Linked DNA regions of Coturnix japonica. The protein of the gene in region 1 interacts with the protein of each later gene in a biochemical or structural test. Links are inferred from orthologs where the notes say so. Each region holds a gene or a part of one and is shown on either strand. Other genes may lie near its edges.

Region 1 (3,821 bases):
AGCACAGCACATGTTTCAGTCAGTCAGGAATGAGCTCCAGATATGCTAAACTGACTTCTTGCTACACTGTTAACACTATGCAAAAATACGTCATAGTCTGCTACAGTTTTAAAAACATGATAATCCAATTACTATAGTAATCAAGATAAATTAGTTCATGTAAACAAAGCTCAATTAAAACCACAATAGCAAAGCACTGAATCAAGCTATAAAATTTAATGTCCTAGCTTATCTGACAGCATTTAAAAGTATTTTTGTAAAATATTTTTTGTAACAAGGATCAACAGGAATGGGAGCAGATTGCACTCAGAAACAATTTAATCTGGCAATGCTTTTATAAAAAGGATTCTCCACCGCTTTCATGGGAGAAGTACTAATCGGTCAAACAGAAATAATCCAGAAAGATGCTTAGCTGGCACACATTAAAAAAAAAAAAAAAAAAAAAAAAAAGAGCGTAAGTCTAAATGAAAGATTATTTGTAGTGTTTTTGAATACATTTTTTTCTCCATTATTATTATTAACATTTTATAGAAAAGGTTTGTTTTAGAAAACCATGACAAATTTTTTCTGAACATGCTGAAGCTGCGAAGATTGCACCTGTGATGTGAAGTCATGTTGCTGTAGCTGTCTCCCTTCTCTGAGGTCCCAGGATCTGACCGTATTGTCCAAGCCTCCTGTCCAAAGCTTGGTGCCATCATTAGAAATGTCAATGCAGCTGGCTCCGTCTGTGTGACCCTGAAATTGTCTGAAAATATCAAAGGAAGATTCACACATTCTCATACCAGAAATAACCAGTTCTGATTATTTACTCAAAACAACTAATTTCTCTGAAACTATCGTTAAAGGTAAAGTGCCATGGAAATCTAAGATTAATCTCAGCCCTGGGACGACCATCTGAGTTTTGTGATGAACTGATGGCGCAATTAATCATGCCATACAGCCAAGTGTTAATTTGATTTTGTGAAGCATTCTTCATGAATTAAATATTCTGAGGACACTTGCTGCTGACTATTTAACACCCACATTTTGACGGGATATGCCACATGCTCCTGAAAGAATGCTGCATGACTGCATTAAGAAGAATATGAAGGACAATGATGCTGTTTTGTTTTTTTAAAGCAGTCCCAATGGGCGCATTAGAGGGTAACAGGCAGGCCTTTGTGTGCAATATTTAAACAGTACATTTCAGAACAACACGTACGCAGTGCAGAGTATGAAGAATGTCTGTACAAGTGGCTCCTAACTACCTTATTGTTCATTAGCAGTGAACATCAACCCCAACTCCTACGAAGTTGAGGCGTGCAATGCAGAGATTTACACATATTTGTATCTGAAACATATTTGCAGATGTATTTGCTACAACACTAATTAAAGAGATTGGAGTGTGAACACAGAATACTTCTGTTCCAAGAACCTACAGCAATTTCAGCACCAAGTTATCTCAAGCTATTAACAGTTATGGAGCAGTTTGGCAGGCTTGGAATTATGAAACTCTCAAAACCCACAAACAATTAAATAGACTTCAGTCAAAGTATTACCATAGTTATTGCCTAGTAATGAAATAGCGAGAGCAGCTATGCTGACACCATGAAGAAAAGAGTGCATGTATGCACAAGAGCATGTAAGGCTATGTCTAATTAATTCTTCACAACCCGGTGATCTGGTTCTGTCGACCTACCTTACCAAAGTCTGGTTATGCAGATCCCACACTGCAATATTCCCATCACTACAGCAGGAAAAGCAGACCTTGGAATCAGGGCTGATAGCCAGGGCATAGCAAGCTGGAGCAGAAGATGTCAGCTCTGCTTTAATGCGTGGAGTTGGAGCTGCCAGGTCCCAAATGGATAACGTGCTGGCTTCTCCACCAACAATCAGGGTGCGGCCGTCAGGGAGCAATCTGCAGGAACGGATGTAGTTATCTCTGTTCTGTGGAGACAGAAGCCATCTAGAAATTACTCATGAGGAAAGGAAAACAGCATTAACATGAGAGCAGAAATCCATAAAAGTATTGTATTCCCTCCTGGTTTTAATGAGCCATTTATAGTTATGACAATGATAAAGTATATTAATGCCAGAAAATTACATGACATTAGGGAAGTACTTAAACTTGATCTACAAAATTCAGTAGTGAGAGATATTTAATCTTAATTAGCATCAAAATGTGAAGACTTGAACCCAATTCCAAACAATTCAAGACAGCTGTATTCAACAGCTTGTGTAGAAAGTTACATTTTCATATGCAGTTTATTTCATCACATTAACCTCTCGGCATGGGAGAGTACCAAATTCCCTGCACATCCCCCTGCTCTGCTCCAGTGAGACTTACTGCCACCATCTAGGAAATGTCAGAGAAAAATATTTGGGCAATTTTCTTCATTTGTGTAGCGATTTGTGTAGCAATTCATTATATGTCTACAAGTGCTGCACTGTTCTCATTTTACTACCTTTGTAACAAGATGCAACATCTTACCAAGAACTGGTAAATGACATGAGAAATACAGCTAACAATGGTTCATCTTGTTAGCACATTCAAATAATTTGTGAATAACACTCTGGGATATTTTTAATTGTCACATTAAGACAGGGCAAAGCATTCACACACATACACAGACGCAAAATACATGACTATCTTCAATATTCTCTGAGGATACAGCTGCAAGAAAGGAATTTTTAGCATGATGGGCTATCAAGCTTTAACACTGCCAACAAATGTCAAAGTTTATAAACAATATCTGCTGTACTGTCTTTGATCTTTTCCCCTACCAATACCATTTTAGGATATTAAAGATGTTTTGATTCACTTTGGGGAAAACAACACAAGTATTACAAGGAACACACTTCAAACTTTATTCTAAAAGAAACAACATTAAAAATAAAATATCAAGCTTTGATACCAATGATAGCACTCAAATAGCCACTGTTTTTTGTTTGTTTGTTATGTTTTTTTTTTACCTTAACAGTATAATTTCAATCTTGACACAACCTGCTGTCTTTTTCTTATCATCATAAGCTACCATTCACTTACCAGGCAGTCGAGCTGAGAGACAGGGCTCTTGTTGCCAGGGTGGCTGATATCCCAGACTTTGACGCACCCCTTGCCACCCGTGTACACATGTCTTGTGGGGTTGCTGATGGTAACTGCACACACAACTTCCCCATGGTTCAGAGTGTTGATCTGACGGGCATGGCGAGGGATTCCCGGACCAATGAGGGCATCGGGAGGGAAAGGAACAGGCTGCATTTGGCCATCTGCACTTACATGAAATGAGTATGCCCTAAGAAGAGAGAAACATAGAGGTAAAAGGACAAATACTGATGAAGTTTTTCTTCAAGCCTATTTTAGAAAACATAATTATGTATTTGTCTCCACTATGGGCATTCAAACTGCTCACTTAGCTCCTTTTAAAACCTTTTTTCTATAATGTAAAGAAGAAATTATTTGAAAACCTTAATATAGATGCTTAAAGCTTATATACTGGTACTCTTAATGTATGAGACAAGGACGATCTATCAATCAAATGAGCTGGTTTCTGGTGAGATACTTAACACAACAATGCATGGGGAGACCACCGCCTCTGCAGAGAAGGGAAGGAAGGTCAAGTCAGGGCCCATTGGAAGACAGAAATAGCTAGCCAGTTGCACTAGAGCCCTGGCAGTAGCTGAGTGCCAAAGGACATTTTGTTGCTCCCACACTAGCTCTAACGTGGACTTTAGCTGGATCACTGCCCAGTTGCCTCAGACACACCACAGGTCCCATGCAGTGTGTTACCAGAGCAGTGAAACCACCACCAGGTAGGGGTTAAGCCCCCAGGTACGCTTGC
Region 2 (3,821 bases), about 32 Mb from region 1:
CCTGCATCATGACCTCCTGTTCTGTGCCCAGCAGCAGGGCTGAGCCGTGGGACATGGCACTAGTGTGGCAGGAAAACACCTAAACGTGTTTGTCACATCTGCAGTGATGGCTGGAAATGAGAAAATGACAGCGTTCTGCTCCACCAGTGTGCACTGTGCAGCTTTTCTCCATGTCCTTTCTTAGCACAGAGGTGCCTCCAGGACAGGAGATGAAACCAGGGATGCAAGGCTTAGGGAGGTTTGTTGTTGAAGTGTACCATCGTTACATGGTCCTCTGGAAACTATAAGGGAGGGCAGCTTCATTGTACTCCTGATGCACTGATGCTTTTTGCTGGGCTGGGTTTAGGAATGCCCCAAGGGTTATGTGTCTTTGACACTTAAAGCTGCCTGAATGGCTGCTGAGACCGAGTCTGCATCTGCACCCAGGAAGCCTGAAAACATGCACAAACGCTGCAGTGCCAGCACTGTGCACACAGAGCTCTCCCTGAAAGACAGAGCCAGCAGCCTGGCAGAAATCTGATGAGCGCTGCTGCATGTTACAGTCAGACAGACTTTGGCTGCCATGCTGGAAATACTTCAGAATTTATTATTGTTATCATCATTATTTTGGATATAATGGTTATGTCAAGTAACTGCAGAGAAAACGCACAGATTAAAAGGAAAACAACAAAACAACTGTTGTTCTTATCTGAGAGTCTTTTTTGAGCTCCCCTTACGAGAAGTACAGGCACACAGCGATCAGTGGGTGAGTCAAGGCCGTAAGGGAGCACAGCTCTGTGGTCGCGGGATGAGAGCTGAGCTGAGCGTGGCCTGTTTGGAAGGGGAGGTTTGGACAATGGCTGCAGTGGCTGCAGATTTGTGCTTCATCAACAAAATTCACAGGACGCCAAAAAGTGCACGGCCCCGAGAACGTGGTGCGTGTCGGTGCTCTACGGGTTCTCAGCGTGATTTCGCTCATCGTCTCCCTCCTGCTCCTCAGTGGATGAGACATGATATTTTTAACAGCATTTTCAAGGCTTTCCCTATTGAAAGAGTGAGATGTGTGGGGCTGAGGATCTCAACCGCCACGCTTTGCTGCAATCCTACTAAAAGCAGTTGTGCCTGCGTGATTTACATGCAAAAAAATATTAATAAAAAAAAAATACATCTGGCACGTTTTGGTCAGTGTAAGGACTCCATCCTTACGCTCCATCCTACCTGCTCTGCTTGTATGACATTGGCAGAACTGCTTGCACAAGTAGAGATTGTGTCTGTGAGGAAGGATTGCAGAGCTGGTCAGAAAAACAAACCCCCAAACAAGCCGAGCCCTCTGGGAACACCAACAGCTCCCCTTCCCTTAACATTTCTCATTTGCACAATTGAAAGCATCATATTAAAAATATATCCATTATGAAAAACATTAACTATTAAAGCAGTAGCATGCGTTCTAAAACAATAAAACGGGGAAAAAGATATGCCAGCGTATTAATTGTTAATGTGCAAATGAAAGATGACTTCACGCCCTTGCGTTGCGATGAAATGCTAACAAGTTGTAGGTGTTGATGGCAGAGCATTTCCTTAGATATGAGAATTTGCTGCAAAAAGTGGTCTTGAGTGAGATTTGTTTCTATTATTGCCAGAACCTCTGATTAATTACACACATTTTCAGTTAATTTTGGACGCCAGCATGCCCTTTAATCTTGCATTGTTTCTTTTGTCTTTCTCTTATGAAAAAATATCTGTTCTATCCTACGGCCCAGTTCCAATTACTATAAGTTAATCTATTAGGTGATAAAGCGCTACATGGGCAGAAAGTGTGTATGTGAAAGTGAAGATGTATCTTAGGATTTGCTGGGGTTTGGTTACCTTGAAATTATGTTCTCTATGAATCTCGAAGCATGCCCTCTGCCTGCCTGTGATAACTGAAGATTTGCTTTGGATGTTGTCCCAGGTATTATGAAACCGGGAGCATTAAGCCTGGAGTGATTGGAGGATCAAAACCAAAGGTCGCCACACCCAAAGTTGTCGAAAAAATCGCAGAGTACAAACGCCAAAATCCCACCATGTTTGCCTGGGAGATCAGGGATAGACTCCTCGCCGAGCGGGTGTGTGATAATGACACCGTGCCCAGCGTCAGTTCCATTAACAGGTAAAGATCTGTACGGTCTCGGGAAGGGGCTTTTGCAGCAAATGTGGTCACTGAATCCTCATTTGCTTGTAGAAGCGAGGGTGAGTTGTATTGTCTATTCAAAATGCATTCTGTGCGCGTTTAAACGCCATGTTTTGGGTTTTGGAGCAGCTGTGGGGTTGCTCCGGTGGTGAAAGTGCCACTACCATCAGCGTTTCCCAGGAGCAGGCAGGTTGTGCTATTGGCCTTTGCTTCTTTCCTGCACTTTCCCATTCTCCCGTCCGTGATTTGCAATTCTTGCTGGGAAAGAGCTGTACTTGCTGGATCACACTCAATGGGAAATGCCTCCACTCGGAGAAGGCTGAGGCTGCAGCTGCGTTGGGTGGTGGCGGTGACCTGGAGGCCATGTCTGGCAGCCATGTTCCTAGAGAAGTGGACCCAAATCATGGCTCCCAAGGTCTTTATTTCACCTACTCATTACTGCTGAACTTGGCTCTGAATCACACTGGCCGCTGTCACTGTCAGCATGAATACAAACAGGGAAATGTGGTTTAATAGTGTCCACGTGTTAAATGGAATTGTTTGAGCGGCCTTGAATTCCTTTGTGTCAGCGCAGGAAAATCTCATTTCTCATCTTCTTCCCATGCTTGTGAGTTCTTTCCTGGCATGGCTAGGCAACACTGTGCTCACATGCGGTCCTGAAGCTATGCTAACCTGCTTCTATCTCAGTCAACAACTGTCTAAGGCTAACATTGAAAAAGCACAGAGAAATGCTCTGTATTGTCTCCAGTCTTCCTGGTCTGATGATAAGGGATTAACACTTGGATGGAGAGCACTTCAGCAACCCCCCCCATACACCAGCAAACAGAGTTTGTTCATTTTCTCTTGGGAGTATGTTCCTTACCAAGTTTTGGCTTCATTGCTCTTCTGAGATATTTCTCAGTTACATGATTTCATGCAAATTCTTTGAGTCCAGCTAGCTCTGAAGTCCCACCTGTGTCCATGGACACGAAACAGACTGATGCAGTGTTCTTTCGTCGGCTATCCTGACCTGTTTTGCATTCATGGAGTTCCTGCTTGAGCAGCAGGAGTGGCTTCCCCAGCAGCAGTGCAGAAAGAAGCATCACAGGGGAGATGCTCCAGGCCCTTTATCATCTTGGTGGCTGGACTCTCTGCAGGAGATCCCTGTCTGTTTTGTACCAGGGAGCCCAGAAGTGGATACAGTGCACGAAGTGAGGCCAGATCGGGGCAGAGAAGAGGAGGAGGATCACCCCCTTCCCCTGCTGGCCACGCTCTTTTTAATGCACCCCAGGATCCCATCGGCCTTCTTGGCCACCAGGTCACACTGCTGTTCACCGGGACACCCAGGGACGTGGCATTTTCAGCTCAAAAAACAATTTGAGGCATGGTATGGTCACCATGAAATGGGAAGGAAAATCCCACTCTGGCTGTTTGGAGATAACCAAGGGCAAACCTGGGCTCAGTGATCCTTGTGGGTGCCTTCCAACACAGCATATTCTGTAGTTCTGTGGTTCTATGAATCTTTGTTTCCATAAAAGTCAGCTCAGGTCCCATTGTGTCAGAAACAAGGCTGCTGCTCTGAGAAGTACTTTGTTTATGTAGCGAGTCTTCAAGCTTTGTCCAACAACCCACCCAAAAAGCAGTGGTAGCTTGGGAATGCAGTGGGACTGCATACGTTCCAGTTGTATTTTGA

What was found.
Region 2: the proteins of TLE4 (region 1) and PAX5 form a complex in vitro, tested with the Homo sapiens proteins (2 studies listed by BioGRID). The link is inferred for Coturnix japonica from reciprocal best matches to the Homo sapiens genes TLE4 and PAX5.

Annotation. Positions count from the first base shown.
Region 1 is NC_029547.1:34,838,431-34,842,251, reverse strand, and holds part of TLE4 (transducin-like enhancer protein 4), read right to left. Parts: intron 3,276-3,821; coding exon 3,026-3,275; intron 1,927-3,025; coding exon 1,679-1,926; intron 746-1,678; coding exon 598-745; intron 1-597. UniProt on the Homo sapiens protein: Transcriptional corepressor that binds to a number of transcription factors. Inhibits the transcriptional activation mediated by PAX5, and by CTNNB1 and TCF family members in Wnt signaling.
Region 2 is NC_029547.1:66,885,118-66,888,938, forward strand, and holds part of PAX5 (paired box protein Pax-5), read left to right. Parts: intron 1-1,930; coding exon 1,931-2,128; intron 2,129-3,821. UniProt on the Homo sapiens protein: Transcription factor that plays an essential role in commitment of lymphoid progenitors to the B-lymphocyte lineage. Fulfills a dual role by repressing B-lineage inappropriate genes and simultaneously activating B-lineage-specific genes.